Linked DNA regions of Ovis aries. The protein of the gene in region 3 interacts with the protein of the main gene of each other region in a pairwise test. Links are inferred from orthologs where the notes say so. Each region holds a gene or a part of one and is shown on either strand. Other genes may lie near its edges.

Region 1 (3,646 bases), on a different chromosome or scaffold from region 3:
ATTTTCAAGAACATATTCTTAAACTTCTAAGCTGCTGACATCAGGTGGTTGGAATGCCGACAAGGTGTCTGGTGTAGTTGGGGAGGCCCAGGACCAGGTGAATAGACCTCACTGCCAGCTCATGTCAGCTGACTATTGGGCTTGGCTGTGGTGACCCTCTGTCTCCTAGGGAATGGGGAAAAATAGCCACAGCTCAGTTCTCTTGCTAAAAGCAGGCCCTAGGGCAAAGTTTTTCTATTCATGGGAGGGGGCTGTGAATGAAAAGCCCCCAGAACCTCCAGGGTCTCCTCACAAAAGAAAGCCTCAGCAAACTTAGCAGGGAGCAAACTCAAGGGTGGCCTTCCCTTCTTCCCAGCAAGACAGCAATTCCCAGCCAACCTGGTTTTCTCGAGTTCCAGCTTTATCAGCAGCACCTGCAAAATAGGACAGGCCAGTCAGAGGGCATGCTCTGTCTACTTGCTTCTCTTCATCTAGGCAGCCAATGGCACTGAGCTTTTGCTCCCTGTCTGAGCCAAGCCAGGCTCAGTCTGAGCCTTTTGCCAAGCATCAACTGAGCCTTATTTTCCACAACTCAGAGCTGGAGGGAGTCAGGGTGCGGGGCTCTGGAGTGGGAGATGACACCCCTTTCTTCTCTGACTTGTCCCTGACCTGCATCTTCAATGCGCCCAGCACCCAGCAGGAAACTGGCCCCTCGTCAACAATGGCCCAAGGCAAGTGCCACTGAGCACCCGTGGTGACAGAGGAGAGTGCATTCCTGCCACCGTGGGACCCCAAGACAATGGTACTTGCTTCTTTAGCCTTTTGTTCTCTTTCTATTAATTTTCTCTGTAGAATGCATTGCCATTTGTACACATCTTGCTTCTTTAATTGTCATTCTCCTGTACGACATAAATTCCACCAGTCAATATATCTCTTGCACATAGAAAGTATGCAATGAATATTTGTAGAAAGATGGGATGAAAAAAAATTCCAAACTGCATTTCTTGGGGCCACAATGACACTGATTAGCTCTGTTTGAACTACCAGTCAAAGAATATGAGTCTTGTGGCAGTATTCTTGGACCCAGAGAAATCAGCTGTGAAGAGTCCATTTCTGTAAAAGCCCCAAGATGAGGGGAGCAGGAGAAGGAAACAGCAGCTGACCTAAGCCCCGGCAGTCTGACCCCTGTCAACTCTGACTAGGCAGGTTTGGATCTGCATCTGTGCCTTTGGGATGGCCTTCTGGGCCCAAGGGGAAAGATGCAAAGAGGTTAAATGCTATTCAAATGGGCAACGTGGTAGGGGAAGGATGTAGCACAGTAAGCACTTGATTCCTCAACAGACTGGTCTTGGTGCCTGTGTCTGCTTCTTCCACAGCCTGAGTGACTCATAAGTTTCCAACTCCTTGATTATCAGTGACTACTGGTCTAGCTCTATGGGAAAGGCACTTCAGAGTTCAGGGGATGAGACTACTCTAGGGCTTGTCATTCTGTCCAGCCCCGAACTTTCCTCTCCATGTTGTTGTTATTGTTTAGTCACTAAGTCGTGTCTGACTCTTTGTGACCCCATGGACTGTAGCCCACTGGGCTCCTCTGTCCATGGGATTTCCCAGGCAAGAATACTGGAGTGGGTTACCATTTCCATCTCTAGGGGATCTTCCTGGGCCAGAGATCGAACCTGCATCTCCTGCATTGGCAGATGAGTTCTTTACCTGGGAGCCACTAGGGAAGCCCATTCCTACCCTTTGCCTTTTTCTAATCAAACATCAGTATGTGAGGCTAGATGCTGGAAATCGGGAGACAAAATCCACAGGTCAAGAACAGGTATCTCTTCCTTGACAGGTTGGTATAAATATGAAGTTAGAGCAAGGCAGGCCCTACTGACTTGTTCAATTCCTAGCTCTCCACTGAGCTAGGAGACCACACACCATCAGTCGTGTCTGACTTTTTGCGACCCTAAGGACTGTAGCCCACCAGGCTCCTCTATCCATGGGATTCTCCAGGCAAGAATACTGGAGTGGGTTGCCATGCCCTCTTCCAGGGAATCTTCCTGACCCAGGAATCAAACCAGTGTCTCTTACATCTGCATTGGCAGGCAGATTCTTTACCACTAGCACCTCCTGGGAAGCCCCATAAATAAGAAGTTAGAGCAGGGCAGGTTCTACTGGCTTGTCCAATTCCTAGCTCTCCACTGAGCAAGGAGACCACATACTGTTATTTTAAACTGCTCTTGGGATCACCTGCTCCTGTTCTATTAGAGAACTTTTAAGGAACCTAGGATGGTGGAGAGATGGAGGAACTCACCAGAAGGTCCTTGGAGGCCAGGGGGTCCTTGAGGACCAGGAGGACCTGGAGGGCCGGGTGGTCCCATAACAGTTGTTCCTGGAATCCCAGGAATCCCTGGAATCCCTGGGGGTCCTTGGGGTCCTGGAGGTCCTGGAGGTCCTGGGGGGCCATTGGGTCCAGGAGGTCCTGCCTTCTTTCCTGAAAGATGAGATTCGGTATCACATTTATAATTACTGACTGAGTGTACTGTCGGGAGTTCCACAGCTTTCTCATGACACAAAGTTGGCCCTCCGGGAGTTCCTGCTCTTAAAGAGGTGTATACTGTTATCACACATCACACACACACACTTTGTTTCATGAATCAGCATTTACAGGCTGGGTTTGAAGAAATAATGACCCTCAAGGAATTTGGTCTTGTGTGGAAACAGACACAGTCACAGGACAGTAGAAATGTTGCATTAATTGTAGGGACAAAATGCTGGAGAGGTCAGGAAGCTTAAAAAAGGAGGTTACCGTTTGGCCAAGTCCAAAGGATCAGAATCACCAAGTGGGTAGACCTTAAAAAGTGGGCCACTTTTTACAATTGAGAACTGGGCTACTGTTGCAGAGCGTGGCTCTCATGTTTACTATCCAGGTTGGTGGGCTTGATGTGGATGAGGCTAGCAAGCTCGGAGGCCAGCTTGACCTTAGGATGACTATCAGCTCCAGGAAGGCTTCCTCTAGGAGTCAGGATGTACAGGGACTTGAGCTAGGATGAGGCTGGAAAGTAGAATTGGAAGGAGTCTGGGAAGATGAGAGGTGGTTGGGGGAGGGAGGAGAGAAAGAGCGAGAGAGAAGGCTCAAGTAACATAAGGAAAGAAGGGGTAGTGGAGACCAGAGGGAGCTGAGCTGTGGAGGAAGCAGCAGGCAGGTTTTGCTTTCTCAGCTCACCTCTCTAAACTCTACTTTTAAAGAGCTCTGGGAAAGGAAATTCTGCAGAATCCCTTGGTAACATGTTCCAATGTTTATCACCCCCTCACTGTTAGGAAGCTCTTCTGTATATTGAACTGAAATTCCTCCTGTGGAAGTTTAAGCTCTTATACTATTGTTTGTATAGGTAGAAAAGAATAGTTGCCATCATACAGACAATAACCCTAATGTGCTCAAGGACATTAAGTCACCTATCAACTTCTATTTTTATAGGCTAAATAATCTAGCTTCCCAGAGTCTTCTTTCCTCAGAGGCCCTATTCTTGAATGTATTTATTAATCAAGCCACCAGATCCTCCCCATTTCCTCCTTGCTCTCTTTTCAGAGCAGTCTCAGCCTTCTATTCCACATTCCAGTCCTTCCCATATTCCCACCAGAACTATGTTAACCAGGTTCTAACTGTGGCCTTGAACTG
Region 2 (4,311 bases), on a different chromosome or scaffold from region 3:
GAACGGCGACCCCAGCACACTGTGTTCCGGGGGTGAGTGTCTCAGCTGCTCTCATCCCTCAGCGCTTAAAGACTGCCCCACCCTGTCCTGCTTTGCCAGAATCTGACATTCGCTTTGCCCCCAGACTCATCCCACCCTGCGCTGCTGGAGCAGAAGGTGCTGGGTGTGGAGGGAGGTAGCGCCTTCCTGGAGTGTGAGCCCCGCTCGCTGCAGGCGCACGTGGAGTGGACCTTCCAGCGCGCGGGGGAGTCTCCCTACACTCAGGTGAGCCTCCCCCTACCCCCTCTCCAAACAGGCCCGGTTCCAACCCTAATGTCCAGAAAGTGCCAGCCCTGATTAATGAGGCCCTTAGCCCGCTCCGCACGTCTACATGCGATCCAGCCCCACCCTGTGAGTCTCAGGCCAATCAGACCCCTAACGCCCAATTTGGTCCCTGGCCCGCAACTCCGCATCCAGGTGAGGCCCCATTCCTCTAACTAGGCGCCTAACATCCCTGCCCGGTCGGAGAGAAGCCCTGCCCTCTCCTCGCCCACTGAGCTCTCCGACCCGCCCTCACTTGCAGATAAGCTCCGCCCCCCCGCCGTTCCCTAAAATCCTCGCCTCCCGCTGATCCACCGGCAGGTGCCTGCGGAGGAGCGGGCGGAGCGCTCGAGGAGGGGATTGCTGCTGCGCGGGCTACGGCGTGGGGACTCCGGCGTGTACCTGTGTGCAGCGGTGGAGCAGGGCTTTTCGCAGCCACTGCGTCGCCTGGCGCTGCACGTGCTGAGCGCAGCACAGGCTGAAAGACTGGCCCGGGCCGAGGATACTGCGCCAGTCGCCCCGCCGGGCCCCAAGCTCTGGTACCGGGACTTTCTGCAGCTGGTGGAGCCCGGCGGCGGTGGTGCGAACTCCCTGCGAATGTGTCGCCCGCAGCCCGCGCCGCGCCCACAGGTCCCTGAGTCACGGAGAAAGGGCCGCAACCGGAGGACACACGCCCCAGAGCTGCGGGCTGAGCGGGGCCCGCGCAGCGCAGCGGACTGGTGACTTGGCCGTCCCCACGCTGGGGACTGGGGAGGAGGCGGCAGGAGGGAGAGGGGGCGCTCAGACCCTGGGAGACGGCTAGGGGCCGGCGTTTCCTGATGGAGGGAAGACACCGACCGACAGGCCCTGGCCAAGGGGCAGCCATGCTGGCTTATTTATTAACAAGAGGATAACCCTTGAATGTAACCCCAATAGGGGCGGCCTAGGCTGAGCACAGGGTCCGGCTGGTCGGGAGGCAGCAGAGAAGCAGGGTTCCCCGGGTACTTGGGTGGGAGTGGTGCCCGGAATGCCCACCCTGGGAGAAGGACCACCTCTTTGGGCAATGAGCAGAAAGCTGTGAACAGGCTGGGTGGGTGGGGTGGGGCAGGCCGACTGTACTAATGCAATAAACACATTTTCAGCCAAAGCTGGAATGGCCCCAGCAGACAATTGCTGGTCTTAGTGTTACCGACCCAGGTTCTTGGACTCTTTAATCAATAGAAGTTGATAAGAGGCCAGATGAGAAATTCAGGCAAGGCTTCAAGGACTCATGCTGCAGAACAAGGGAGTGAAAATAAGCCACAGGTGCCCAACTAGCAACAGGTGCTCTCCCTTGCTTGTGCTGGGGGTGGGGAAGGAGGGCAGGAGGGGTGAGTTGGTTCCTTAAATGGGGTGAGGGTAGGGTCAGATCCATGGTTCAGGCAGTAGGGTGGCTTAGGTGGTCAGCCTGCCCCCTTGTGGTGGTGTGGCAATTGGTTTTCTGGTCTGTTTTTTTGGGGGGGTGTCTTTTTTGTATCTTGTTTATAATTTGCCCCAACCGCAGGTTTATATAGTTGCTTTTAGTTGCTTACAGCAGGATTCCCCAACCTCCAGGCCTAGGACTGACACTGGTCTGTAGCCTGTTAGGAACCCGACTGCACAGCAGGAAGTGAGTGGAGGGCAAGCCAGCGAGCAAAGCTTCTTCCTCTGCGTCTTTCCATTGGTTGCTTTACCAGCTGAAATCAACCCCATCCCTCCCATCTGGTCCCTGGAAAAACCTGTCTTCCATGAAACCAATCCCTGTTGCCCAAATGGTCAGGGGACTGCTGCCTTACAATCTCTCTGTAGTCCGTTGCTCCAAGAGATGTTTGTCCAGGTGAAGTACTACAGCATAGGGTCCCATGTCTGATTCCCCTCTAGGGGGTTCTACACCCTTTCTTCTTAAGGGTTAAGGGGTTGAAGTTCTCTTCTGAAACCGCAGATCCTAGCCTACCCTAGAGGTGCAGAAGTCCCTCGCTGACTGCTTTCGGGGACCTGGGTTCCCCTCAGCTGGAATCGGTTGAAATCCTTGAGCCATCCTGAGCCTTACTTGAAAACTGTTGGGACCTAGAAGACACAAACTTAACCAAAGGGTTAAACAGACAAGGGCCAAAAAGGAGAACAGTAAAAAGCCAGTAGAGCAGGGGTCACCAACCTCCAGGATCTAATGCCTTGACAATCTGAGATGGAGCTGGTGTAGTAATAGAAAAAAAGTTCACAATAAATGTAATGTGCTCAAGTCGACCTGAAACCATTCCCCTACCCCATGCCCACTGAAAAATTACCTTCCAGGAAGCCAGTGCCTGGTGCCAGAAAGGTTGGAGACTGCTTCACTCAAGGGTCTAGGAAGGGAAGGAACCAGGATAACTTTGACAGGGCTTCCCTAACTGCTGACCAGACAGCGAAGGCGACAGCGCCCCTGCCAAAATTGTGAAGCCATTGCTGCTTGGGTGTCTATTTAACTTTTCTCTTTGCTGTTGCATTGATTTAGGTGCAGCAGGAAGTGTTAGTTACCCCACAAATTGTGCCTTGTTCTGTCAGAAGGTAATCAAGGACTAGATGATTATCAAGAGGTAAATACATTAACCCAAGTAACAAGAGAGGATTAAGTCCCATTAAAGCTTGCTCTTGTTGGTTTTATCACAGAATTAAGCTGTCTGGTGAGATTTCTCAGTGTGGCTTCTTGATAGGGAAAGCTACCCCATGGAGCTACCAGTCCTGTGGCCAGCCCTAGGAAGTGAACATTATTATTTATTTAGGTATTCAGCGGTAGACACTTGGGATCTTTGATTTTCCTTGCAACGTGTGTGATCTAGTTCCTGACTAGGAATGGAACCTGGGCCTCTGGCATTGGGAGTGCAAAATCTTGGCCCACTGGACCACCAGGGAAGTCCCTGAAGTAGACATTGTTAATGCAGTTATAGGCCATAGCTTGGACTTTCCCCGCGGCTCAACCATAAAGAAAACTCCTGCCATACGGGAGACATTGATTCAGTCCCTGGGTTGGGAAGATCCCGTGGGGAAGGAAATGGTGACCGTCTCTAGTATTCTTGCCTAGGAAATCCCATGGACAGAGGAGCCTGGTGGACTACAGTCCATGGGGTTGCCAAAGAGTGGGACACCACTTAGCCGCTAAACAATAAAATAAAGCCTTGTGAATATCAAGTGCCCAGAAGCACCAATTTTCAATTTGTTGTTATAAGAAATGACCACAAGGTGGCAGCATTTCTCCCTGCCCAACTCTTGATTCCTTGGGCAACCAGAGCCTTAGGGGAAAAGTCCCATTCCTGGGTTGTAACTTAGAATGGGATGTGCCAGAAACAACACCCAAGGGCTTGTGTCTTCTTATTTCTTCCACCTTATCCTCCCCCACCCCAGACAAATCCAGAGCCCTGAAAACCGGCTACAGTGAGGGTGCTGAGGGTGCTCTTGGTAGGGTGAGTCTAAGGCAGAAGGTTGGAGGAGGGAACCCCTCAACTGGGAGACCTGAAAACCGGGTGAATTTACAAAGCTCGTCCAGCCCTGGGACTTTCCTGGCAGTTCAGTGGTTAAGACTCACACTTCCAGGGCAAGGGGCCCGAGTTCCATCCGTGGTTGGAGAACTAAGATCTCGCGTTCCATGTGGTGTGGCCAAGAAAATTGTTAAAAATAACTAAAAATGTCAGGGAAAAAAAAAAAAAAACTTCTAGCTCACAGAATCCACCATCCTTTGGGTACGCTAGGCTTGGCTTAGCTAGAGGAGGGTCTGACTGGATCTGGAGACTGTGGTCTTAGCGGAGCAGGCACTGCGGGGCCAAGGGAGGTTCTCTGATGACACAGCCTCCCTCGCCCCCTTAGCTTTACCACCCTCCAGCCTGGAGACCAGGCCTGCTCAGGCTTCAGGGCTGCAACACAGGCCAAGGTGCCAGAAGCCTGAAAAAAAAATAGAGTAGGCATTTCTTTTCTTTCTGTTAAACTTGTATTTTGGCATGTACTTGATTGGTCACTTAGTGGAGTTCAAAGTGTCCAGCGAAA
Region 3 (3,646 bases):
GCTCCTCGATCACGGCCATCAGCTGGGCCAGCTGCTCTCTCTGCTCATCCCCAGAGGCCCGATTGTTGAAGGCGCAGTACCTCCGCCCGACCTCCCGGACCAGGCTCCTCAGCCTGAGGTTATCTGTGTTTGCCACGTACTCATCCAAGGATCCGCCCGCCAAGTCCTCCTTGTGAGTGAAGAGGATGACCATGTATCTCTCGGCTCCTGCCCCAAAGACCTCCTTCACCCTGGTCACGGCCACCACGTCCTGCTCGGTGAAGCGCCCCAGCTGGGTCACCAGCAGCAGCACGTGGGGCCCTGGCACTGACAGCAGATAGCAGGACCCAATGTTCTGGTACACCTCTTGATCCTGGGCCCCGGCCTCAAAGATGGGGGGTGTGTCCACCACCAGGATGCTCCTCCCATTCCACCTGCCTGTTGCCCTCTGACACTTCCTGGTCACCGACTGGGCCCCCAGCTTGGACTCAAAGACGGGCTGGCAGAGGATGCTGTTCCCAGTGGCACTTCTCCCGCTGCCTGTTTTTCCTACCAGGATGATCCTCAACGAGGAGGAGGGTTCAAAGCCCTGATGTTCTGTAAAAGAAAAAAGAGAGAGAGAGAGAGAGAGAGAGAATTATCTTGTTTTACCATACTAGTGATTCTTTTTTTTTTTTTTAATTTTAAATTTTTATTTACTCTTGAAGCAGATAACAAGCTGGCTGAAAACTCAATATTCAGAAAACTAAGATCATGGCACCAGTCCCAACATTTCATGGCAAATTGATGGGGAAACAATGGAAACAGTGAGAGAGTTTATTTTCTTGGGCTCCAAAAGCACTGCAGATGGTGACTTCAGACATGAAATTAAAAGATGTTTGCTCCTTGGAAGAAAAGTTATAACAAACCTAGACTGTGTATTAAAAAGCAGAGACATCACTATGCCAACAAAGATCTGTTTAGTCAAAACTATGGTTTTTTCCAGTAGTCCTGTATAGATGTGAGAGTTGGACCATAAAGAAGTTTGAGCACCAAAGAATTGATGTTTTTGAACTATTCTCTCCAACTGTGTTGGAGAAGACTTTTGAGAGTCCTTTGGACTGCAAGGAAATCAAACCAGTCAATCCTAAAAGAAATCAACTCTGAGTATTCACTGGAGGGACTGATACTGAAGCTGAAACTCCAATACTTTGGCCACCTGAAACGAAGAAGAGCTGACTCAGTAGAAAAGACCCTGATGCTGGGAAAGACTGGAGGCAGGAGGAGAAGAGGACAACAAAGGATGAGATGGTTGGATGGCATCATGGACTCAGTGGACGTGAGTCTGAGTAAAGTCCGGGAGATGGTGAAGGACAGGGAAGCTTGGTGTGCTGCAGTCCATGGGGTCTCAGAGGAGGACATGACTGAGCGACTGAGCAACAAGATGATGAGCACTGTTGTTTCAGTTCCAGGTGTGCAGCAGAGTGAGTCAGTCATTCCTATGTGTGTATCTTTTCTTTTTCAAATTCTTTTCCTATTTAGATTATTTAGAATATTGAGCAGAGTTCTCTGTGCCATACAGTAGGTCTCTGTTGGTAAAGCTAGTGATTCATAAGATTTTTCTGTCACTGACCTTTCATGGTATCTCATGAAAGCTATGGACCTCTCTCTGCCAAACAGTGATATGAAAATCGTACAGGTGTTTGCATACAACTTTGGGTGGCTCTTGACTGGTAGGAAGCCCACATTGGGAGCCCAAGCTTGGACCCATAGCCAAGAGCCAGAACAGCTACACTATGAAGGATGCTCCAAGGACTTCTTCAGGACCAATGAAAATACAGGTTTTCAGAAAGAAAAGTGATCCTTTGCTTTTCCCATGATGTTACTTAGGCCAGTTTCATGCTAATCTCAGGTGAAATTACAAGGAGGTGAGGATAAATCATAAATGAGAAAATATTATCATCTGCTTTTCACCCACCAGTTCCCAGGCACACAGACTGCTCATCACAGTCATCTGAACCCTGGGAGTAAAGGAAGTCTCAGATGTTAGAGTCTCAATGACCTCCCACTGAGGACCAGCCGAATGTCCCTGGGTTTCTGCTCTTAGGGTAGGGATTTGAATATTGGGAAGGCTTGTGGTTAATGTCAGGGACAGAGTCTGACAGATGACCCTGGATGGGTGGCTGAAGAAGAGATGATAAGAATGTTAGAAATACATATTTTGGAAAGATCATTGCTGTCGCTGATAGAATTATAAGAAATTATAACAAAAGTGGTGTTGGCGAGGTCACTCTGTACCAAGAGCTAAGTCTTCTAGGGATGAAGAGAGTGAGAATGCAAGGATTTCTGGAGTTCTTATAAGCTCAAATGAATTAAATTCATTCTAGGCTCCTAAAATCTGTTATTTTACGCCTATACAGTCCATGGAATTCTCCAGGCCAGAAAAATGGAGTGGCTAGCTATTCCTTTCTCCAGTGGATCTTCCCAACCCAGGGATCGAACCAAGCTCTCCCTCATTGCAGGTGGATTCTTTACCAGATGAACCACCAGGGAAGCCCAAAGAACACGATAGCTACCTTTTTCTCCTGCAGTTTAAAATAATTGGGTTTCTCTTCTGTCTTAATATTTGAGGTCAGGGAGTGGAGGAGGGAAGACAGTGATTTTCGCCTGGTGCCCAGAAAGTTTGAGAATTTGGAGGGTTTCTTACCTTCAGCCATGGTTCCGTATCTGCTCCTCTGAAGTCCTTCCATTCGCTTCTGGAATAAAAGGAAGAAAGGAATAAAAGCAAGTGTCCTTATAGGAGCTGGTAAGGCCTGAGAACACCTCCAATTTAGACAGCCAAAATAATTATCCTTACATGAGTCATTTCCATTGCTAACTTTCTAACTTATACTTTGCTTTCAAATATCCATATATAACTTTAAGCAAGGCGGGTGATGCTAGGTTATGTTAACACAGTGAACTCTTGCTTTTTTCTCATTCTACAGGAAAGCAAGAAATGTTTGAATACACATCAGTTGATTATCTCCCTTCAAGCTGAAAAGGTGTGAAATATAGAAAGCCTTCCTCTAGGAATGAGAAGCCGGGCTTTTTATTATTTTATTATTATTATTATTAGAATCAGAGTAGGCAAACTTGCTAGACTAGAGAATAAAAGTTGCCTTACTGTAAATGAATAGTGCTTTGTTGAATTACCAGGCATTTCCAATCCCAGAAACTCTTTGTATCAGATGAATATTCCAGTGGCAAAGAGGAAAGTACAATGCACCTTCCAGTGGGAGTGTGGAATTGGGGTCCAGGGCTCCTTTGAGGATGGACATGAGAGGGAGAAGGGGAAGAGGCCCGAACATGGTCACCACCTCCTTCCCTCTGAGCAGCTGGGGGGAGAGAAACTGGTGCCCTGACTGAGGGACAGCAGCAACATTTGGGACAAATTCAGGATAAAGTCATTGCCTGCTCAGTTTTAAATCAAATGTCTTTAAATCAATAGCCACTTTTAAAAATCCCAGTCAATGTCACCAGAAATTGGCAAAACCGTGGAGATAAAGGTTTCATTCAGCTGAGGCATGCTATTGTGTCATTCTTCTTGGTGCTAGAAAAGATAAGCGTCCATTAGAAAAGGCAAGCCTGCAATGTGCAACTATAATTAAGATGAACTCTGAGCCTGTATTTTACTTCGTCAGTTTTA

The links.
Region 1: the proteins of GTPase IMAP family member 5-like (region 3) and EDA interact in binary tests that used the Homo sapiens proteins (3 or more experiments, as listed by UniProt). The two-hybrid records come from large-scale screens. The link is inferred for Ovis aries from reciprocal best matches to the Homo sapiens genes GIMAP5 and EDA.
Region 2: the proteins of GTPase IMAP family member 5-like (region 3) and LSMEM2 interact in binary tests that used the Homo sapiens proteins (3 or more experiments, as listed by UniProt). The two-hybrid records come from large-scale screens. The link is inferred for Ovis aries from reciprocal best matches to the Homo sapiens genes GIMAP5 and LSMEM2.

The regions. Positions count from the first base shown.
Region 1 is NC_056080.1:62,926,903-62,930,548, reverse strand, and holds part of EDA (ectodysplasin-A), read right to left. Parts: intron 2,462-3,646; coding exon 2,282-2,461; intron 414-2,281; coding exon 379-413; intron 1-378. UniProt on the Homo sapiens protein: Cytokine which is involved in epithelial-mesenchymal signaling during morphogenesis of ectodermal organs. Functions as a ligand activating the DEATH-domain containing receptors EDAR and EDA2R. May also play a role in cell adhesion.
Region 2 is NC_056072.1:50,135,315-50,139,625, reverse strand, and holds the start of LSMEM2 (leucine-rich single-pass membrane protein 2), read left to right. Parts: upstream 1-1,382; 5' UTR 1,383-4,311. Other genes in the region: SEMA3B (semaphorin-3B), read left to right, coding at 1-32, 125-264, 622-1,023.
Region 3 is NC_056057.1:114,126,089-114,129,734, reverse strand, and holds part of GTPase IMAP family member 5-like, read right to left. Parts: intron 2,715-3,646; 5' UTR 2,709-2,714; coding exon 2,666-2,708; intron 577-2,665; coding exon 1-576. UniProt on the Homo sapiens protein: Plays a role in T lymphocyte development and the optimal generation of CD4/CD8 double-positive thymocytes. Inhibitor of GSK3A, possibly by sequestering GSK3A in cytoplasmic vesicles and impairing its translocation to the nucleus.